Linked DNA regions of Arabidopsis thaliana. The protein of the gene in region 2 purifies or fractionates together with the protein of the main gene of each other region. This does not show direct contact. Each region holds a gene or a part of one and is shown on either strand. Other genes may lie near its edges. The genes, in order: AT1G26550, LSH10 and HB22.

Region 1 (7,634 bases), on a different chromosome or scaffold from region 2:
GAGCCAACACAGATGTTATAAACTCCAACTCCACATTTGCAATCTCTTGATCAATGGTTTCCGCAGATGATTTCATTTCGACAATCATTTTGTCCGCCGCTTCTTTCTTCTCTTTCGCAACCTCTGCTCGTCTCTTCAGTTCCAACATTTTGCGTTCTACCTCAACCATCTCGTGTTCAAATTTTTGCATTTCAATCTCTTCAGCTTCAATCCTCTTCTCAAGACATTTCCTTTCCTCCACTTTCTTTGCTCGCCCAACTTGGAGAGACAACACTTTGTTTATCCGTGACTGAGGGGTTGCAATGTCGAAACCATGCTTCTCTAGCTCGGCAAAACAAGTACTGAGGCTACCTAGTTTGCTTGAAGAAACATCGAGCTGCAGCTTTTTTACTTCTTCTAATAACCCATAGAAACTCACCATCATGCCAACTGCTGACCATTCACGAATATCTTCTTTGAACTCCAACAACGGGCTAAAATGAGGATTCTGTGGCACTGTCTTGTATCCCTTCTCCATTTCATATGTCTTCCAAAATGGCAAATTCTTTGTAAAAGGCTCAATCGTTAGTGCACCTTTTGCTTGAGTTTCCTCAACATCAGCAGCAGAATTATCCACCACATTCGAGCTCTGATCAGAGGATAGCACTACATAAACCAATGCAAAATAAAATTATAAAAAATTTGTTCAAGCATATAAACCTGATTGTTTAATAAAGGATACATCTAAGCTACTTTGAATAGAAATTGCTTTAGTATATTGAACCGAACCTGTAGGTATATTTATCCAAGAAGAGAGAGGCTGATCATCAACATCATCAACACGTATAGTATCACTTGTACCGTTGACCCCAGCCTTTGAAACATTGCAAGTCTCATCTACAAGTTTTAACCAAGGATATGATAAAGTTTGGCAAGAAACAAAGAATACCAAAACTAATATGGCCAATGCTGATTTTAGACATACCAGTTTCATTCAGGTTAGAGTTTTGATTTTGTTCTCTTTTCCTTTTTCTACTCTTTTCGTTGCTATTCTCCTCCTCAGGCATCTGCATTCAAAAACAATTAACAATCAGGAAGGCTAAAGATAATAAGCACCATCTAGTGGAAGTGAGAATGGTTATGTTTCAAACAACAAACTAGCTTTACCTCGTGTTGAGTTGAACTATTTTCCAAGCCATTCTGATGCTTCACTGGCTCAGGTGTCTTCTTTGGGGATTTTTTTCCTTCAGTTTCAGCATCTTGTTGTTTCAATGGTGTGACTGTTATGACCGGGGCTGGGGTACATGTGAAACAGATTCACATTGACATTAAAGATCAGTATTAAGCGATGTAGAAACTAAACACAATGAGTTAAGGAAGATTATGTTTACCTATTGATGTTTCTTGAGGGGTTATGAGCAGATGAGTTTTGTCATTCATCACAGCATCAGCCTTGTTTTTTCCTAATTCTCTAGTGGCCTAATTTCAGGTAACGCAGATATGTTAAGCATAATCAAAGACATGGCGAAAGCAAAGGAAACTAGTGAGTGTCTAACTTACAGATACAAATTTTGCTTTAGTGGGTGTCTCGCTAATTTCCTTAGAATTCAGGAAACTTCTCAAATGCTTTGTGGCACTCGTAGGAGTCATTGACTTAGCAGCAGAACAAGAGCGCATTGGCTTCCTTTTCAAGATGGTTGGAGGAGTTTCTTTTATGGGTTTTTGCTGAAAATAGAAACAAACATAAAGCATTCATACCAATAAACCAAAACTGTCAGAATGTTGATTGAAACTAGTGTAATTGATACCTTTAGATCGTTATACCAAACTCCATCTTCCCACACCATGAAAGGCCTAAGATCTGAGTGTCTTATTGTAGATTCCTGCTGTGTAGCCTCTAATCTAACCGTGTAACGGTTCTCAGAGAGAATTTTCCTCACTTGCCCTTTATGCCATCCCAAACCAGAAAACGTCTCTACAGATTCCAACAATGCATACTTGTCAACTGAAGAAGGAGGCGGTATGGGTCTAACACGGCGCGAATTAACAATGTTGGTTGGTCTCGCCTCATCACCATTGCAGCTCAGGTACCTATTACAGTCCTTGACAATGAATTTCTTCTTATCATCCACATCAGTCTCTTTGACTACCATTGCAGGGGACCACACAGCTTCTTTGGCAGAAAACACTTCCACCATTGTCCCGGGGCTAAACATGGACTTATTCGATTCCTTCAAAGACAACAAATTAAAGTCTACTTTTAAGCATTCACAACCAAAACTAAACCTTTAATAATTTTAATCATAGCATATAACAAGAACAAAGAAAGCAACAAAATTTTGACAGCTACAAGCAAAAACAACACCGGATTTAAGAAAGGATCTCTTAACCATGGAACTATAACACTCAACAAACGAAAAATAGAGAAAAGTTTCAGCCTTTTGAAACTAAAGCTGAAACCTTTAACCATAACACGCAACCAGACTCAAAACGGATTAAAGCTTCAACCTTTTTGAAAGAGAGCAACAAAGAGACAGTTTCAAACATTCAAGCAAAGACCCACTTCGAATAAATCAACCTCATACCTCAATTTCTGGTTGGATCCAAGTCCCACCGGTCCAGATAAGATGAGTCCGCAACTGCTTTCTCTCGAACTGTATAATGTCAGGAGGCAAATCAAAATAAACCAAATAGTTGTCGTCCTCCATTTTCTTTACGACAACACCAGTCCACCACCCGTCTTTGTGGTCAGCATCCACCAGCAAACCTTCCTCCAAAACGACGTCTTTTTGTTGATTCTCCTCCGGAGGTACAGGTCTAATGAATCTCTGTTCGATGTGTTCGATTAAGGGAGACGAACCGTCCATGTCCAGCAACGTCGAGTAACGAACACGAAGCTTTCTGCGAGATGAGTTCCCTGGGTTTTCCTCTAAAACAGCTCTGAACCAAGCTCCTTCGAACCCTTCCTCTTCAGAACTGACTTCAACTACACAATCTTTCGTTATCTTCATCGTTTGCAGCTCCATCTCCGGAAAGTGAAAAATGTGGTTACTTTGTAGAAATAATCAAAACCCAGAACCCAAATAAGCAAAGAGTGAAGCAAAAAACCTCCCTTTTGTAAAACCCTAAAATTTCACTCTGATACTGAAAGACAGCTAGCTCTACAAATGAAAAGCAGAGACAGACATTTACGAAAATAGGAAAAATATTTATTTTCTTTTTGGCGCGATTAAATTTACGAAAAATAGAAAATATTTGATAAGAAGAGTATCTTATTGGGCCTAATAGCCCAACCATGAATGGCCAAGCCCATATTAATGAATGGGTTTAATGTTCCATCTCTAATCCCCACAAGACTTTTCAGCAAACAAATCTCTCTTTCTCTCTCTCACTCTCTGCTCGATCGTTCAATCTGATAGAAGAAGAATCTCAAGGTAAAGTTCTCGACTTTGTAAATTTCTTGGCTTCTCAATCAAATATTTCATTCCACTTTTAATAGTAACCTTTTGTGTTTTCTCCGATTGGTTTTGTAAACTGTTGGTCAATTCTCTGATTTTTAGGCTAGAAATTGAAAACTGGGGTTTATGTTATTTGCGCTAAATCTTCCGTCTAGATAATTGTTTTTCCATTTGCGATGTTATCTTGTGCATGGACGCACCGGTTCTATATTGGGCTCTTTGCGTTTCGATTGTCCAAATGTTAAATTACTCATTTTTTAATCTGTAATCTTGTTTTGTGTTTTGATCATTCTGAATTTGATGGATCTTAGCTTACTAAGTGTTTGATTAAATTCCCCAAAAGTTTCGGGTTGAAGCATTTTTTTAAGTTTACAAATTTGTATATCTGCTTCCAGTGTAGTAGATTCCAAGTCACTTGCATTTGGCTTTAAATCTGCATTGAAAAGTTCACTGGATTTATTTCAGGGTTTAGGGTTTACAAGATGTGTGTGGTGATGTTAAAAGTTAAAACCCTGTAATCTGATGGTGATAATAAAGTTTTAATCGTGGTTGTTTTTTATAGTTTTAATTCGATGGGGAAGGACGCAAAAGCTGGTGGGAAGGGTAAAGGAAAGCAAGCAAGTGGTAGTGAAGAAGCTCCCTCCAAGGGTAAAGGAAAAGCAGGAAAAGCTGCAGATGGTCTTGGGACATGCACTTATGTTAAAGGTGTGTTTTTTGGATTCGTTTCTGTGCCTGTTACCTTTGTTCATGAGTAAAAAATACTGGTAAACAAATATGGATCCAAAAGTTCTCTTACAACTTTTGTATTAGTACAATAGCATTAAAGTCAAATCTCCAATTGTTTTTGTTTCAGCAAGACATGTTTTGTGCGAGAAGCAAGGAAAGATCAACGAGGCCTACAAAAAGTTGCAGGATGGTTGGTTGAGCAACGGAGACAAGGTTCCTCCTGCTGAGTTTGCAAAGGTGAATATCCTTCTTCTTTTTTGTCTATGAGATCAAAACATCAATCTAAGATAGTTCAGATAGTATTGTTTATTCCATCTCTAACTGTGATATGTACGTAACCGCTTATAGAAAACCCACATTCAATACCTCATAGTTCATTGCTTTCCCGACATCTACAAGTTTCAGTTTTCGGTTAGATATATTTCGATAGATGTGTGTTATGAATTGTGGAGAATCTTAACACGATTTGTGTGTGGAACGATCTCAGATTGCAGCAGAGTACTCTGAGTGTCCATCAGGGAAAAAAGGAGGAGATCTTGGATGGTTCCCTCGAGGAAAGATGGCAGGTCCATTCCAAGATGTCGCCTTTAATACACCTGTTGGAGTCACCAGTGCACCCTTCAAATCAACGTATGTCCAAATCCGATCTCTTCTTTCTTCTCTTCTATCTGAATTTATCTTTATTAGTGGATGATGAATGTAATTGCGTGGTAATTGCAGGCACGGATACCACATTATTTTATCAGAGGGAAGGAAGAACTGACAGATACATCTCTGCTCTGCTACTTTTATGGAAGTTGCTACTGTAACCTTAAAAAAAACACAGCCTTTGTTGTTTTGGCCAAATTGTTAAAAAAACTTGTCTCGTTTTGAATAATGAATGCGTAACGGCCATAATATATGCCGGGTGTTGATTTCTGAAGTCTGAATATTGAGACACCATCTCTATTATAAGCTCGTCGCTTGGTTTCTTTGGCTTTGAGAACATTTTGAATTTGCCCGTAAGAAAAAATTGGTTTCTAAGCTGCTGGCTGTAGCTTAGAGAGGGTTGATGATTTGATACTGGCTATTCCTAACAATTATAACTTGGTACGAAATCGTTTTCGAATCATTGATTAATAAAGGTCATACGTGTGAACACAAGTGTAAAAGTGTGACGTTATTGCATGAGCATCTGAAAAACAGAGTGAAGAGAGGTGTGTAATGTGGGTCGTTGACTTGTTAGTGTGAATCTAACAAACGCATATTATGATCCATAATTGCGCAAACCCCTAATCCTCCATCCACTTTTTCATAAAAGAAACAATAATGGTTAATGAGATTTGTTGTCGCGTTACAAATTTCAAAACAACTTAACATTTCAATGACTTCATGAGCCAATAATTAGCACTTGTGTTGTGACTTATACATTCATTCATTAGTCAGATGAAATCTCTTACATATTTTTTTAAAAAACAATCACAACACATCTATTTAAGAAGAAGAAGAAAAAAAAGTAAATGCTCAACATAAAGTAATTGATTTAGAGAATAAAATCCGGGGAAAAAAATGTATTATTTGGAAGAAAAAAAAAAGAAGCAAATGGGAACACAAGCCTTTTTCATATAAGAGGGTCACAATCACAAATACATAACCTCAATGTGTGAACAAATATGAAAACTCAAATGCAGCATTTAGTTTTATTAACATGAAATGTATTATGTGGAAATTTACCAAATCAATCATATAATGTATCTTAAGTTTAAGTACAAGCAATTATACCTAAAAAGTTTAAAACTATAGACAAAGATTACTAAAATATAATCCACGTTTAACACAAACTATCAGAAGTCTATTTGGCTAGGTATAACGAAAGCAACAAATCCCTCTTTAAAAAAGAAAGCAAGATTATTAACTAATGTAATTATGAATACAATCAACGCAAATTAAAATCATAGAATGTAAAATTTGTAACGAAAAACGAGAACACGGTAAATATGACTAACGTGTTTTAATCTAACAAAAAACACCAAGATACGTTGCATCACAAGTGGATAATTGTGCAAAATTCCACATCTTCATTGTTAAAGCAAAATATTGTTTAAAACCAATAATAATTCGATACGTGTCAAGCGTGATAACTTTAACAAAATTAAGCAACTAATTAAGCACTTGAATAACTTCGCGAGACACTCGTAATAATTTCCACTTCTGAACTTCTATATTCATTAATTAATCAAATGAATCTCCTACTTACGCACACCGGCGGACCTATTAAGAAAGAAGGGGGTCAAGTGACCCCATTAATTATAAAAATATAATTTATTACATGTAAGTTTATATACTTACCCTGTTTTTTTGTTGATTGCTGCGACAAGCACCGGCGGCACAAAATATAAAAGAAAAAAGAAGGAGAGATGAAGGTGAGATGAATGAAAGAGTCGCAGCGATAGATCTGAAGAGATAGGAGAAAGAGAATTTGAGACGCTAAAAATTCCAGCGTCTACGGAATGGCCGAATTACAGTCACTGCGGCAGAGATGAAAGAGAGGAGAAATGAAAGTGAAAGAGAGATGAGAGCTTTTTTTAGATCGCAGGTAGCTGACTTAGCGATCAATCAAAAAACAGGGCCAGTGTATAACTAATTAACTAACAAAAATAAAATACATTAGCCACATATGTCCATTATAACTTCCCACTAATTTTATCTTATCAATAATTTTTACTTTTTGATGCAATCTTTTTCTGTTGTCTACTTTTCGTGGTTTTTTGTGTATTATCATTTTCTCTGTTGGCAACTTTGATTCTTATATTATTAGTTGTTTGATTGTCATTTTTTTCCATTCGCTTTAAGCCAAAGGTTATTTGAGATGCTCACAGAATTTTTAGACAAAAAGCAAATGGGAACAAAAGCCTTATAATAAGAGGGGGCCACAAAAACATCCACACTTTCACATTATCTCACGCCATACACTCGTTCCAATCTCACGATCCCATGAAGATCTCTCTTATCTAAACACATTTTATATTTTTGTTCATTTGTTAAATAAACACATTATAATTGGAAATAAAATTCTATTTACCGGAATTTTTCGTTCTTTAATAAATGGATGGAGGCATGGAGATCTACCAATCAAAGAGCAAATACTACGGTTTTATAAGATATATTATTTTTATTCAACCTTATTGAGTCAACTGATCAGTATGTTAAATATTCACATTGTTAGTTGAAGAACTATTTTTTTATATAGTTATTTTGATATAATTTCAATAATAAATGGTTTCTATAAATACTTCAAATGATAAAAATATATGATTTTTCTTTTTGTTCCTGAGTATAGTGACAATAGTCTATACTTTATCTTGAAATCTTTTTTTTTTTAAATAAGATACTTAGGTCCTGTTTGTTTGGCCATTTGGATGAACCATCTCAATGAATATTAAAACTAATGTTTGTTTTTCATGTTTTAATAGATCATCTGAATGATTCAGT
Region 2 (8,303 bases):
AAAATGTTTTAAAAATTATAGCATATTTAAAGAAAAAATTATAGTTTATTTTCTGTGACGTTATTATCACCATGAACTTAGTTATTTTTTGTTTTGAATAATACTTCTGCATTCATTGTGATCGATATCACTAAAAAAAATACATCATGTAGCGTCAATTGTGTATATCGTTTAAGTCAGTTTTCAGTGATTAAAAAAATTACGTTAAGTCGTTTGCCAAAAAAAAGAAAAAAAAAAACTTACGTTAACTCTAAGTAACTGTTGTTAATATCCTTTTCATTTTTCAATTTTAAATCCTTTACACAAGTGATGTTGAATAAATGATGTGTTCAAGCGTTTTTTCGTAATGTGATAATAATAGCCATATAAAACCAACGCATTATTAATCGTGTGGGTTCATAAACTTTAAGAATGCCATTCATATTCAAACGAATAAAACCTAAGTATATAGAGACAACTTTGTAAACATTTAAAAAGTTATAGAAAAATAATGGCAAAAGGGAAAAAAAATATTAAATATCATATCCTAAACAGTCAAATTTGACAGGTTGGAAAATAATATGCCTACGCACGTGTCGTAACACATCACATGCCCTCTCTTTTGTTCTTTTCTCGTTTCTCTTCAACTTCAGTAGTTCACATGGTAGTTAACCATTTTTAGTTTCCTCTAGTTCTCTAAAGTTAAAGAACAAGACATGAATTAAAGAATTTTTGATGAAATCTTAAATTGCTTTGACTACATACTCTCTTTTTTTTTTTTGGTCAAGCTGACTCTATATACCTTAAGAAAATATGACTTCACTGTCGCTAGACGTCGTCAACAAACCAATGAGAATTATAGCCTAAATTCATTATGTGCTAACATTTCATATATGCTACTGTTTGCAATTTTTCATAGCTATAACGGTGACAAATCCATCTTAAATTGCAAGGGATCGAATACACGGAAGCAATTTGGTTAGAAACGGCCATAAAATGACGATCATCATCTATTACTAACTTTCTATGCTTTACATGATATATTTCCATATTCAAACGAGTTCTTTTGGCTATTATGTAAATTAATAATATGTTGAAATATAAATTAACAGGTGTTACTTTCTTCTCCTCAACATGACGTAAATATCAGGTTTTCTTACTTCCAAATCATTACAACTTAGAATTTCAAAACCATCTTTCCCATCAAAAAGAAATTACAAAAAAGACAAATTTTCAAGATGCAAGTTACTCCGAATTGGAATGGGTTCAACCATATTAAACCAAATCAAAATATGGTATGATTTATTCTAGTTCAATTATACTATATTATTAAATTCTGAATGTTGATATGTATAGCGACATATATGTAAGTATCCTATTAAAGATAAGCGATTAATTCTGATGGAACATGATAAAAGAAACCATATGTAACATAGGTAGAATATATAGTGGTTAGTGAGTCATAACCTATTACCTAGTTTTCATGAACCAATCAGGGACATAGATGCTCACTCTACTTTGCATCTCGCTCAATTATTATTTTCATTATAATATTATTATATTGCATTTCATTGAAAAAAGGAAAAAAAGAAAGGACTAAATCTATCGTTAAATTAGGCTTTAATTAGATTTTATAAAAACATCATGTGCAATGTATTTCGGAGAAAAAAACAAGATCCCTAATTAGAATTTGTTGAAGCATTTAATGAAAAATTGACAATGATTTTGACTGGTACTTAACGCCTTCCTTTTTAGTGTCGCTGAACTCCTTCCATTTGATAAAATGAAATGTTTCGTAAGAAATTTCACTCGTACAAGTAGTAATAAACTATTTGAATTACCAAATATATATTTGGAGATTTTTTTATCTTAACTTGCAATTCATTTATTGTTTCAAATAAATAAATTTTATCATTAGTCAATTATAACGGATGGAAACATGTAATATACTGGTTTGCATTGTATCATAATTGATATGAATTTCGAAAATGTATGCGTATATAAATTATAGATGACACAAAACAACCAACAAAATCTATAATGTATTTGAAGTTATCAAGTACATGAAAAATGCAAAGCATCCATATTTACGAAACAAAAATCTAGAGTTAAAAAACAATTGAAATCTGATGGGGACAAGAAGTGAACCCTACAACGAATTTTAGATAAACAGCATCACTCTATATCAACAAAAATTGATTGAAATTAAAGTTGCAAATCTGTTTATAGAAAGAAAAAAACAAATTGATATATCAATGATATGAACAACTCATCTATACTGAAAAGAACTATCATTTTTCCTTTTCGTTGATATCGTAAAATACGAGAAATGAAAACGATCATATATCAAACTGTTATAATTGGTACGCCGAATATATTCCGCCTGTCCGGAAAATTGGATGGACTATAAGTAGCTAGGCGTGTCAACATAGAAATTGGTATCAACGATTCTAGTATTATTTGTATATCATTAATATTTATTAAAATATAGTCTAAAAGTGATCCACTCTAATCTGATTCGCTGACAAACCAATCTGTATTTTCAACCTGGCCGTTTTTCATCCTACGGCGTGTTAAACCCTCGTAGACAAATCCACAACGTTTTTTCACATCCTTATATATATGTGTGTGTGTAAATATTGCTTCGTCCAACAAGAAGAGTATTGTTTGTAGTTTTTTAATCAATAGAAAATGTTATCATACAACCCACAATGAGCTAACTAACACATTTCCCAAGTATAAAATCCCTTTAGAAAACTATATATGATCTTGAGCTGAAGTCCAAATAGTCTCTGACTCTCTGAAATCGATGTAAGCATTGAATCTTCTAACCATTATAAAGACATATACAGTATCCAATTTTGAAATCGTGGTGGAGAACTCAAACTTGGTGATCTTTCAACAAAAACTATGTAAATCTTTTTAGCCAATGAATTTGATTAATAAATACTGATACGTAATTAGTTAAGAGAGAGAGAGGAAGAAAGAAAACAAAATTTTGAAAGGGCCCATAACATGTCCTCTCTAACGTCAACATCATCTGCTACTATTACTTTCACCCTCTCATCAAACTCACTCAACCTTTCATCTTTCTTTCTTATTACATAATTCTTCAGATCCATAAAACAAATTGATCCCTTAACCTTCTTCACCAACATCTCTCTTACACTCAACAAGAGATCATATCATGTCCTCTCCAAGAGAAAGAGGAAAGAGTTTGATGGAATCATCAGGATCAGAGCCACCGGTGACACCAAGCCGTTACGAGTCGCAGAAGAGACGTGACTGGAACACTTTCGGACAGTACTTGAAGAATCAGAGACCGCCTGTGCCGATGTCTCACTGCAGCTGTAACCACGTGCTTGATTTCCTCAGGTACTTAGACCAGTTCGGTAAGACAAAGGTGCACGTGCCTGGCTGTATGTTCTACGGCCAGCCTGAGCCACCAGCTCCTTGCACGTGCCCTCTCAGACAAGCTTGGGGAAGTCTTGACGCTTTGATCGGACGGCTGAGAGCGGCTTACGAGGAGAACGGTGGACCTCCGGAGACTAACCCTTTCGCTAGCGGAGCGATAAGGGTTTATCTGAGGGAGGTTAGGGAGTGTCAGGCTAAGGCTAGAGGGATTCCTTACAAGAAGAAGAAGAAGAAGAAGCCAACGCCGGAGATGGGAGGTGGGAGAGAGGACTCTTCTTCCTCCTCCTCTTCCTTCAGCTTCTCTTAAGAGATTCTCCATCGTCGTGAAAGACTTTGTGGTAATATATGTTTCCAATATGTGACTTTGCATAATTTACATATAAAGCAAGCATATCTGCATCATTTATATATAACATATAGATTTTGATTGATATAATATATATTATACTATGTATCAAAAACCCTAATTGGAGATACAATTAGGCTTTTGATTTCTGTGAATGATCAGCTAAATTTTTTTCTTGATATTGGGTTCGGAATTAAGGGACCGGTTTGTGATTAGATCTTAGGTTTCAGTGGAAGTAGATGTGTTTTGGAATGATTTCTTTTAAATCATTTTAGCTCTTCGAATGCAAGTTGATTTTAGTTTTGAAATAATATAAAGGAAGATGTGTTTTCTAGTTTCTAGCATGTAAAATCAATTCTTGAATAGATGATTCATTAAATCTCTAACATTAAAGTAAACTAAAAACAGATTTATTCAAAACCTTAATTTGAAAATGCATCAGACTTTCTAAGCTATGTATATGTGAAATTATAGACTATTCAAGTTTATCCTAGTGAACAACTCATTCAAGATTTGGAAAACGTACATTTGATTCTCAAAAGTTGAATCCTTTCTTTATCAACCATGTATGTATAGTTGAATATTGGTATATATGGGCCGTGTGTACACATTGTACCACTGTTATTTATATAAATAGTACGTAGTTCAATGAAGTAATGATTGGCTCTTGGAAGGCTTCTCTTTAAAGATTTTTGTAGATTTTGTTCCCCATTGGTGATCAAGGGAGGAGTTGATTGAACCTTTTACCCCCATTTTTATAACCTAAAGAAATATTGAGATTCCATGATTGTTATCAAAGGCTAAGAAGGTTATCTCAGAATAGAAATTACCTCACACATAATACTTTAACGTTTTTAATTCATACTTTTTAAACTATTGCAATGTGGGTCTTAGTAGAATGATCTCAATATGAACAATTCAACCAAATCTTTATCATATACAATCATATTAATTAGGATCTCAGATTTTAGAGCTTGGATTGTGACATGTAATTTTAGCTTTTATAAAGGCTGTTTACTGCATGATCATTGGGAATAGTTATGCATTGGCATTTTCTGAGATTATACAATTAGATTTTGTGGAAATTAAGTTTGTCTCTTTGAATTCAACTAATTAAATCATTTTTATTTTCTTTGATCTCAATTATAATTTCAGTCTTAAGTTTATATATAATTTGCTCAAATCATCTTTATGCGTCTCCTTTAGGATCTTTGTCACCACTAACTTTGGAAAAGCTTGAAAGTTGGTTTTGTCCCCCGCATAGCTTTGTAGATTTTGTTCGATTATACAAATGTGACATATGCCACAAGAAACATAATTTAAGAATATATTTTTGATGAATTCCATAGAAGTATGGGTTAAAATTAAGTCTCTCGGACATGCATGCATGCATCTCGCATAGTTATGGCTTAAACTTGAATTTATATACGTTATCCTATTTGCATCTGTGAATCTAGGTAAGCGCATATTACATGTATTTCTGGCAATGAATTAGTGAACTAATCTTGATACAATAGAACTTGGCAGGATCAGTAAGTCTCAAAGAGGGATCAAATGTAAAAGAGACCTCAAATCTATCTACTGGTATCTTCAACATATCTTTCGGGACCATTTTTGCAGCTCTTCGTCCCCTCCTCTTCATTTCCGCAGATCTCCGTCGTCATAAATATCTTCATCTATTCTCTTATTAAGCTCTATTCATATTTATTCTCTTATTAAGCACTTTTCTTTTGAATAAAGTAAGTGTAAAGAGTTTATATATTGAATTCAGGTGTGTTTTGTACTTCTTATGTGGATCAGCGTACTTCTATGTCTTATATAAGTCCAACATATTGGATTTAAATGAAAATTACAATGGACTATATATGGTGGAATAGCAGAGTCCGATGACCAATTATAATTTTTGTTTTTGGAGTATTCTAAAATTGATGGATCGACGTAATTATAACTTAGAGAAGAAAGTGATCAATGGATTAGCTTCAAAACAATCTGTTTGAAAATAGTATAAAAAGTTGTTTCCTGACTGATGTTCCCAACAAATAAGAGAAAACCTTGAAATTTAAACTTGTAAAAAACAATGTTTGTAAATGTTAAGTCTAGATGAAAAAGACAAAAACAAGTTGGAGGAAAATAAATCTAGTTAAACAGAAATACCATTACATTTTATTAATTTTCCCCCAAAACGACGAGTACATGGTGTTATAATATGATAGGAAAAGTCGTTTACAAAACAATCTTGGTAGGGCAAGTTCATATTTGTCTTCATCGGAATTGGCTTTATTGTTTTCTAATTATCAAGCATATTGTGTAAATCCAGCGATGATATACCTATAGCTCAGCTGGTGTATTAATTTATGTTTTTCTAATAGATCAAAGTTATGAGTCTGAGTCTCAACAATAGTGAAGAGATTATTTTGTAAGAGTAACAGTTTTCATCTTCTCTCTAAGGAAAGTATGGTCTTCATGAATTTTGAATAACACTTTGAGAATCTTGTAAGTTGAATAACAAGAGCAATGATACTCCACAAAAATAATGATTTGTATGTTCCCGTATAGAAATGATAATTGAGCATATTTTTCAATTCTTCATGCCTAATTAACTAGATTTTAACATGGCTTTGGCCTTTTGTGTGTCGCCCGTTAACTAACCTCATTTTTTTTTACATTTACAATTTCATGTAAAATATTGATTATAGTTTTATGTTACATTTTTGTTTTAAACTCCTCTTCTCTAAAAATAATGTATGTCTTCATCTCCGCTATCATCAACAAGCTTCGTCGGATTCCTTCAATAGCTTCGGTCTCCTTCATCTTAAAGCAACACAACTCTCATCGTGAGACTAGTATAAGCACAAACCTCGATCACTTTATTTCATATGGAAGCAAAGGAATGTTCGTCTCCAAACCTAAAATCGCGGCCTCTGGCTTCGCTCATTGAAGAAATCACTCGTATCATCTGAGTACGTGTAGGACCCCTCTTCGAGCTCAATCTCTTCACACCAATAGAGAAACGTATTGTCCACTTGTTTTCTCGCCTCTTTCTCCATCGCACGTCACCGACACTTGTGACTCCTATTTAAAGTCTCAACTATCTCTTTTCTAAACATGCATATGTTCTATGCTGTGTTTAATCTTTTGCTCCTTTCCCAATAACAATTACTCCCTCTGTACAGTTTGTAGAAAGAACAACAAAAAGCTCGAAAAGCAAATTTTAATAAATTTTGTTGACATATAATCTAAATGGGCCACATAAGATAACTTAAATAAGCCCAATTTTGTAGTAACATAACCCAATATGCTAGGCCCATAGCCTCTCGACTGTTTCCCAGTTCTCTCTTCTCAGCTCCTTATCACAAGTCAACAACTATCATGTCATTACCTAACCTAGTGAGCTACGATTTATTATATCTAATTCTTAAAAAGTAATTGTTCCTTCAAATGGTATGTTGCTTCTGACAAATCAAAACATCCACCAATTTTGCTGTACCCAAAATAAAATCTATAAACTATCCGGAATAAACTATATCTATCAAACTAAACTAAAAAATTATCAGCTCAAGAATTAAATCTGATCTCGATTTCAAAAACATAATTACACATTGAAAATTTCAACCACAACATCGTCGTTACACAAAACCGTTGGAACGAACGTGGAGATCGGACGAAAGACATTAAATGATAAACCCGAGATGTCGAACCCACATGTGACACGTGGAATTCTAGAAACTGCTTTGTTACTAGACGTCCACGTCATCAATCTTTGAAAGAAAAAAAAGAGAAAAACGACAAGCAAGGCAACGTCGTGAGAGTGAGACAGCATGGTGTACTTTGAAGGATTAGATTTTTAAGTTACGGAACACAAACATTTACTTCACGTCACCACTTATCTACTTCCACGTCACTCTCTTTTCCCACCACTTCTTTTTTGGCCATTCTCATTACTCTTATAACTAATTTTCTTTCGGTCATTAAATTCAAAACCCGGGCCCAGGCCCACCAAAGCTTCCAGTAATTGGTCTATTTTTTCACAACTACAAATTAATTTTATACGATTTTTTTTCCTTTTTGTATCGTTTGCGTATAACTTTTTAGGTTAGGACGATTTTAATAACATATCATCAGTTTGAGAAAAGTAACACTAGCTAGCACATAAGAGCAACTCCATTGCACATCAATGAGAGGGTCTTTCTATAACTATAATATAATATATGTAAAGAAAATATATTACTTTAATGTTTGAGTATCTTTAAACTAAAGACATTTTATGGTAAATGTCTTGTTAGAGACATTTTTGAGAGTGTGTCTCAAATTTAAAGACCCATCACATTTTATTATTAGTATTTTATAACTTCAAATTTTTTTAATATTTATGAAAGACACTCTCCATAATGTGCCATGGAAGTGCTCTAATATTTCAACAGAAGTGAAGATCGGATTCAAGAAATTTTAGTGGCCATAACATATGAAAAATTGAATGACATGTAAGATTTAAGAAGTTAAATCTTTTTGGAGCCCACTTGTTCAAGATCCACCTTACTACACCCAATCGAATTAGATTTTTTTT
Region 3 (8,342 bases), on a different chromosome or scaffold from region 2:
GAAGTGTTGGAACCGTGTGTGAAGATTGTCAGGAGCCACTTGGACCAACCGATCAACTATTATTATTATTACTTTTATTTACTAAAAAGATTTTTAAGTCTTAACTAGTTTGGACTAATATCACCGCAAAACAAATGTCATAAAAAAATTTCATATTAGCTTTATAAATATTTTAATATAATACATTTTTACTGATATTGATTTCTATTTATAGTTTTAACAAGGACTCATTCCCTCGCGAAATAGTAAACATAATATCGTAGATTAAAAATTTTCATTTATAAATGTGTACGTAAAACATGCATGGTTAAAGATATGTGGATTTTTACGTACAATATGATTTAGAGAAATGTATATCTAGAAATGTATAAATCTATATGGATTATTTTTCAAAGATTATGATACAAAAAAAGTATATAATTTAAGGTCGTAATTTATGAGGTTTTTGAGTTTACTATTGTACATAATGTATAGGTTGAAGACGATTAAAACAATTTCTATCAACAAACAAAAATGGCCGGTGGGATGGTAGAAAAAAATGTGGACGGATTTGTAACTTCTAAATGAGATGAAGAGATTTCTATGTAAAGGTTCTCATCTAATTATTTCCTTGAATCCTTGACATCAATTAAAATAATCCAAAACGGAATAGGATTCTCACTCTTTAAATCATTTGGGTACGCAATGACCTCTCGTGAATTTGATAAGACATCCAGATGTCTCCTGAAGCCTGAAGAGCCTGCAAAATACAAGACATCCGTTACCTTCTTGCTATCAAGAAACATCATATATTTCCCCCATCTGCTAACAGTAGATGGATCCTACAACTTTTGACGCCGTATAGAAAACACAATTCAAGATTGAAACCGGTTTTGTATTCAGTCATACTCAAAGTAGAAATAAGTCTTTAAAACATAGGGGATTCAAGGCGACCATTTCTCATGTCACCGTTGATTTCAGATTTGCTACCAAGAATCTATACATGCGATACATTAATAAAGTATATTTATATGGAGTTATATTTCCAAAACTGTTGTTTTGTGTCTCTCTCATTAATTATAAGTTTATAACAATGCATACCTTCAAATCCTCCATGACATTCGGCTAAGCGTCTTTGAGAACAACTACCACAATCCCATCAGTGTATTCACCCACCAACGAAAGAACCTGTCTCTTGTCCTTGACATCGTTAAGTAGCCTGTGATGGCGGCAAAGCAAAATTGTAAACACGTGAAACTTTTTTTCAAAGAGAAAATGAGAAACATATCTACCTTGAATGAAATGTTTAGTTACCTTGTAAGAGAATCTTGTTCCGTCATAATGCAATATCGGATTCTTCCTCAAACTATCAAAAACAGCCTTATTGGAATGCATATCAACATATATAATCACTCTTCATTTATATGCTCGGGTGTTAAGGCTAGCCTTCTCTACAAGATTGAAGTTAAATAACAAACAAATCAGCTTCATTAAATAAACGATGATTTATAGCTTTCATACGAAGACCAAAAAGAGGGGACACAAACATAAACATCAATGAGAAGATCAATGACATGCTTGATTTGAGTGAGCTCCAACATGAGCTTCTCTAATGCTGTTAATGAGCTGAAGTCGCTTCGTATCGTTTGAAAACTTGATAGCCATCTGAAGAAGATAAAAAAACATAATCCTAAACGTCAATATTTATTGCTTTCAGAAGATCATGGAGACAAAAAAAATAACTTATACAAGGCCGATTCCTTAAAATTAGGGTTCGTAGACTGTGCAATTATCAAAATCTAGGTTTTGCAACCACAATAAATTTCCATTTCTCGAATCTTAGAATGAAATCAACAAAATTTAGAATTCGAGCTTGATTTAATAAAAAAGATCGATTCTCACAATTAGGGTGTGCGGTTTTCAATATATATGATTCCGCAACCTAAAAACGACAATAGATTTTCATTTCTCCAATCTTAGAGCGAAAGAAACTAGGGTTTATCAATCAAATCGAATCGAGACATCCTCGGTTAAACAATTCACAACAAGTCAACAAGTATTAGAAACACGAACAGACGAGAGGAAGATCGACGAGAGGAAAATGCATGGAAGTTTGTTGATTGAAAGGAGAAATTTTGAGATAAGCTTTTTCGTTTTGTTAAGCCCATCAATATTCGGCCCAATAACCCCAAACACACTTTCACACACGTGGCTTATATTATGCAATTAAGCATTTCACCATGTTTTCTACATTTGATATGTTTACATCAAAACGTTACGTTAATTAATTGATGCTTAATTTAATAATTGGGTTGTGTGATTGTGTCGTGCTGTGAAAGAGACAAAAGAGTGAGAAGTTTCAAAGCAAGCTCAACACAAAAGCAAAGCACATTTATATAAGAAGAAAAAAGAGAGGAGAGAGTTAATGTGATAAGCGGTGAGTTTTGGTAAGATAGCGAGAGGAATGTGACAAATGTGAATTCTCTCGTCATTTTCTTCATCAAGATGGAAATCTATCGTCTGACATCCTTCGGAAATCATCATTAGTTTAATTATTTCAATTCCTTCTGTTCACATGATATATAAAATCCGGATTTAACGGTTCGAAGTCTTTTTGAACAAAATCAAAATACGTTTAATGAACTAAGGAAATATTCAGTTAATGTAAAATTTATTTAGAAAAAATAGGTCAAATGAGACCCTTGCAAAACTTGGATATTACAACAGAAAAATGTTCCTTAACTGCGTTTTGTTTTATTCATATGTGTGTTTTGCGTCAGTTCGTATATCATATGCTATTTATGGATATCACACGCGTAATAAGCAAATAAATAACATGTTATTTAAACATTTACCTATTTAAACAACATGTTTTGTTGTTTTTAATTACGAGTGTATTATCCCGCAATGGCATGTTATGCTTAGACACCTATACGACTACAATCGTCCATGGCTTCTCATTGTTGCACATGCTCACCGGTCCCAGATCTTATTTTCTTGCTTTTTTGAACTTTTTCTTCAGTTTTACAGATAATCTTAGATTAGTTCATTTTAACCGCCCTATAAGAGATAACTTACGTAGACTATAGCTGATTCCTAGCTCTAATCCTCCTTATCATTTTATTTGTTTGTCAACAATATGTAACTATCACAAATTACAAGGCTACATATCTTGATCAACGGATCTTTAATAATCATCTAATTAACATAGGTATATGGCAATACTAATATAGGAAAATAACAGAGAGTATACTTTTATATTGTTTACCAATGTTGGTTTAATCACTGTACTTTAAATTTGGATAGTTTGGTTCATCATTCAATTGCATCCTCAGTAAATTTATGGAATTAACTAGTCGAACCAAAGTTAATAAAGATTAATCACAATGTCTCCTAAACTGTCCGAAACGACCAGATACGATTATTAACTAGAAGAAGAAACTGTATGTCCAGGAAAAAATAACATAACTAATAAGCAGAAGTAGTTACAGAAGAGTCATACCAAAAAAAGAAACAATTATGATCCTCTAGTGTTTTAAATCATGTCTCGAGCAAAATTAGGGTTTCTTACCAAGAGAGTTCTTGTTGTTATGCATCCAGATTTTAAGCACTTGTCTCCTAACACCAGTCTCCGCACAGAACTGCTCAACCGCCACGTCATCATGCTTCTGAATTCTCCACCCCAACCTCTCCGCAAAGGCTAACATCTTCTCTTTCTGTTCCGCCGTGAACTTCGTTCTAAACCTCTTCGTGGTCCCGCCGCTGCTGCTAGGATTTGATGTATCCTCCTCGTCCCCCGATGCCGCGGGTGGCCTGTAAGGCGCCGCGGGAGATGTTAGATGAAGATATCCAGGCGGCTGATGCGGCTGCGGCGGGCGGTTGTAGTACGTGGGAACTCTGTGGGCTCTACCGCCGATGCTTTCGGTTTCCTTGCGGTGGAAGTTGCGGTGGCAGCCGCAAGCTGCACACTTAAGAGCGTCGAGCGTTCCATCTTCACCGGAAGGCATAAACTCGCAACAACCGTCCACGGCGTGGCCACCTATGTTAACAGCATGGTTCTTCAAGCACTCTCTATACCTTATCTTCGCTCCAACTCCTTTACTCCTTCCTACTCCTCCACCACCACTAGATGTGGCTCCCTCACCGCTTAGAGAGTCGTAACCGCAGGGGGGATTAACACCTGACATCTCCATATCTTCTTCTTGATCCTCAAAATTCATTCTCCGATCCCTCTTTCTTTATTTCTTAATTCTTGAACATCTCAAGAGACATCCGTACTACAATTAGATTGTTACTTAAAAAACTATAATAGAGAGACCAATAATTCATGAGAGTTAAGAGTATAAATTATGGAGGAAAAAATTATTTAATTTAATCCGAAAGAAAAGATAAAACAGTGAAGATAAGAAAGAGATAGATGATGAGAGTGTGGTCAACAAACCCTGCCGCTTAATAAAAGGGAGTCTCAACTTTTTACGTTTTTTTTTGTTTGTTTTAGAATAATATTCATATATAGATAGTTTCATCCAAAAAGAACACCCATAAGCCATAACCTTTTTAGAGTTTGATGAAAAGTACAGTAAAAAAAGTATGTTCCATTGGAGTATATGATTTACAATAATTAAATGGTGGTTTGAGAGTGATTAATATTAAAAGTGCGTTTAGGGTTTTGTTCAAGGTACTTCTGAGTTCTGACTTTACTGTAAAAAAAAAGATCAAAAGTGGGACTGTGGTGAAAGAAAAAGTGTCTTTGGGAACTTACGGATCACAGCAAATGGCAAGAGCATTGGACGTAGAGATAACGTGTCATGGGTATAAATCCGGCCTTAATTTTGGTTTCTTGTTTGTGTTCATTATCAAACAAATTAGTTTCTTAAATCGGAAATCGGCTCTTTGACAATTGACAGTATAAATATATTATTAATCCGTACTCACAGAATTCTGAACGCAGAAATACCATTCTCGGAACCAATAGTTGTTCACCGTCGGACCGGTAAGTCCACGACTCATATAGTAATTCAGTCCGGCTATACTTAGAAAAGCCTTTTCGATTTCAAAATTTATTACTTAGAAATATGCTGAGCCTAACATGAACCGTTCTAACAGTTCGTGTGACTTGAAATGTAACTAGATTTTTTTATTCGGTATAATTTACTATCTACTGCTCTATATGTATGTTGTACAGTTGTAGTGTTATATGTAGGAATATTCCTGTGAGCCAAAAATCTGTGGACCACCCGGTCTAGACCTGTTTTTTGGTTTGAAAGAAATCATGGTGCAAGTTGCAACAAATTCATTTAAGATCTGAAGTACTATCATTTATCCTTAAAATGGAATTCAAACACGTTTTATGTGAGATATATTTACAACTTATCATTAATTCCAACTCTTAATCATGTTTTCTCTCTTTTTGTGTCTCTATATCTAGTTAGTACAAAACTAGAAAAAAATGTATACAAGTTGAAGTTGTTATGCTTCTTGCTTATGGTGAAGGTTTTGAAACTTATATCTTGGTTATAAACCCTTTTATCTTTTTGTGTGAAGAAATTGTGTCGCTGATGTTTTATGAGCTATGCATCAAACAAAGTGAAAACAACAAACATGGTGTTTTGAGTAAGGATATGAATAGGTTTGGAAACAAATATAACATGCAATTAAGATTCAAGAATGGGTATAATTGGAATTCAAACTCAGATTCTGATCAAGTTGGCCTCAAAATAATTACTAATCTCAAGAAAAAGACTAATTTGTGAATAGGGAAAAAGACAAGTAGAGTTATGTAGACGATCAAGTTGATAGAGAAGGGAGCTAGTAGATTTGTGGAAAAAGACAAAAGACGAACGGCCGTTTGACGATGGAATAGTTCCACAAACAAATATGATGTGGCGTAGTCAGGAGAAAGTTGATGATGAATTTTGCAGATACAATCACGTGAATGGTTTTTGTGTGGTTGTGCACATCCACCATTGTCCTCATCCATATGTATATTGTGGATACATATTAGTTTCTAAAAGCTTTATTTTAATGTTTTAATTTATTTTTTCACATACAAACCATGAAAGTTAAACTTTTAGAGTATGATGAATGAGTGACAAGAGATTATATTTTGAAAACTTTCACAATTTGGTATTTTTGAGAGTTTAGTTGGTGTTTTGGAATTTTTTTTTTTTTTTTTTATGTTCAACTTTTTTAAAACATTTTTGTTATGAAATATAAATGATTTTGGATGATTTCATTCTTCTGAATTATACAAAGAAAGAAAGTTGATGCGGCTAAAAAACGGTGCTGTGAATAAAGCTGACACAAATGTAAAATGGAAGGTAGCGACAATGATCCTTCCGTAGCAAAAATGTTGATATGACTCTGAAGGATTACCTAAGGCTGGAATTTAATACTGAAAAAGCTATGAGATGTTGGATCTGATCCTTCGAGATTACAAAGTTCCAGACCAAAATGCTGACAACGCTTGAACAAACTCTCGGTTGTGTCGTAGTGAATGAATGTTTGCTCATTCATATCATCAGAGATGGTTTGATGAATAGGTCTTTGATTGATCCTTCACATTATTCAAATTTCCAATAATATTTATGGAGCAAAACACTTGTTGCAAGTTATGACAATCGATCATAATCACATGCATATGCACTTACAAAGTTGAATTAAAGGAAGATGTAATCCTGTGAAGGAAAATATTAAAGTTAGTATCTCTATCCAACATGCTTATCCTCACATTACTTAGCTCATCTCCGAAGTACTTTCCACTTTTAGTTAGAATCTTCTTCTCCTCTCTAAGAAACTTCTCACAATCCACTATCCCTTCTTCACACTTAAACCATGCAAATGCTGCACAAAACACACCAAACCAAATGAAAAACAAAAGAAGTGGTTCTACAATCATTTCTACTTTTGTTTTTCTTTATACGTACCTGGTTGTGGCTCAAAGACCCTGCCAAAGAAATTGCAACGTTGAGAGACGAAATCAGGAACACTGAAACGTTTAGTATCCTTTGCTGCTTGTTTCAATAGTTTCCACCTCTCATACATAGCATCATAACTATGGTCAAAGAAAGATTTGCCCGTTACATTCCCACAACTGTCTGACACAACCTTAAGAACCTTGGCTACTCTAAGCTGTGAGTCCTTTGAAACCCCAATCGTGTTGAGTTCAATGTACTCTATCATTTTCCTAGCCGTCTCTCTGTCTTTCACCAAAGCCCATCTGCAAATTAAATGAACAAGAATGTAACGTTTAAGAGACTTGTTCTCTGTTTTGCTCCCACAAAAGCAAAAGATTGTACTTACCCAATCCGTATCCCTGCATGGCCAGTGCTCTTTGAAGCAGTGAAGAGCATAACATCGTGATCAGCTGGTGATGTTATCGGTGTATACTGTGGCCAATAGTAAGCCAAATCATGGATCAATATACCTTCAGTACTGTTCACTACTGATTCTCTCAAGAACCCATCAGGGTTGTTTGGAGATGTAACAAGTTCAATGTATGGACCATCTTCTTTGTACGTCTTTGCATCTCCACCCCATCGATATAAACCTGATTTGAGGCAGTCTGTAATCAACGGGTATGTCTGCAACCAAACCGGTTATACATGTTAGATTGACACATATATGTGCTAAAATAACTATAAAAAAAAACTAGTATCCAGCAAAATGGCGTGTCTAACAAGACATACAGATAGTTTTGAGATGGCTATAAATATGACTCACACTATAATAGGGTGTGGCTGACACGACATTAATGGGACCGGAGTCATCATGTGGGGAGAGAGCATAGAGAGCAGCCTGATACAATTGTGTTGAGCCAGTGCCAACAACAATGAAGCGGTCTTGCGTTACAGCATTCCCAACAACCTTATGCACCCTCACAATCTCTTTGGCAAGCTCTGGCTCAAGAAACCAACAGAGGTTGTTTTCATCTGAAAAATAGCTAAGAGATTGCCATCCAGGTATCACCATTGTTGTCACCTCTCCATTTTCCTGCCAATATCTCTCATACACCGTTGGATCACCACTGCATAGAGATATACACATCAAGATTAGCATATATATACATTCTACCGTGTGACAGGAGTTAATCTTTGAGTCAACGAGAGCTGAGCATAGAGGTAAAGAATTAGTGGGTCCTTTTATTTAATGGAGAACATAAAACATCACCTTCTTATTTCTGCAACAGTGAAAAACATGGTCAAGTACTAGATCACCAGACTAGTCCTTTAGATTCCCTCAAAGGACATGAAATATTTATGTATTCAGAATCATGTCACCACAATGTGGGCTCTCTTTACTATTCCCTATTTAAAAGTTTTTACTTGACAATGGAATTGGAAAGAATCAAAAGAGTTTTATAT

The links.
Region 1: the proteins of LSH10 (region 2) and AT1G26550 fractionate together in Arabidopsis thaliana (co-fractionation; one large-scale study listed by BioGRID). This does not show direct contact.
Region 3: the proteins of LSH10 (region 2) and HB22 fractionate together in Arabidopsis thaliana (co-fractionation; one large-scale study listed by BioGRID). This does not show direct contact.

What each region holds. Positions count from the first base shown.
Region 1 is NC_003070.9:9,167,791-9,175,424, forward strand, and holds AT1G26550 (FKBP-like peptidyl-prolyl cis-trans isomerase family protein), read left to right. Parts: upstream 1-3,327; 5' UTR 3,328-3,413; intron 3,414-3,999; 5' UTR 4,000-4,009; coding exon 4,010-4,142; intron 4,143-4,290; coding exon 4,291-4,400; intron 4,401-4,650; coding exon 4,651-4,793; intron 4,794-4,883; coding exon 4,884-4,926; 3' UTR 4,927-5,243; downstream 5,244-7,634. Other genes in the region: AT1G26540 (Agenet domain-containing protein), read right to left, coding at 1-645, 769-876, 965-1,046, 1,147-1,274, 1,371-1,458, 1,540-1,704, 1,788-2,210, 2,565-3,005.
Region 2 is NC_003071.7:17,744,839-17,753,141, forward strand, and holds LSH10 (LIGHT-DEPENDENT SHORT HYPOCOTYLS-like protein (DUF640)), read left to right. Parts: upstream 1-2,942; 5' UTR 2,943-3,166; coding exon 3,167-3,700; 3' UTR 3,701-3,731; intron 3,732-5,256; 3' UTR 5,257-5,686; downstream 5,687-8,303. UniProt on the Arabidopsis thaliana protein: Probable transcription regulator that acts as a developmental regulator by promoting cell growth in response to light.
Region 3 is NC_003075.7:12,721,315-12,729,656, forward strand, and holds HB22 (homeobox protein 22), read right to left. Parts: upstream 4,324-8,342; 5' UTR 4,200-4,323; coding exon 3,551-4,199; coding exon of another isoform or gene 3,537-3,550; exon of another isoform or gene 3,238-3,536; intron 1,645-3,237; coding exon 1,598-1,644; downstream 1-1,597. Other genes in the region: IPT4 (isopentenyltransferase 4), read left to right, coding at 1-108; TAR2 (tryptophan aminotransferase related 2), read right to left, coding at 6,626-6,822, 6,906-7,198, 7,282-7,562, 7,702-8,005. UniProt on the Arabidopsis thaliana protein: Essential protein. Putative transcription factor.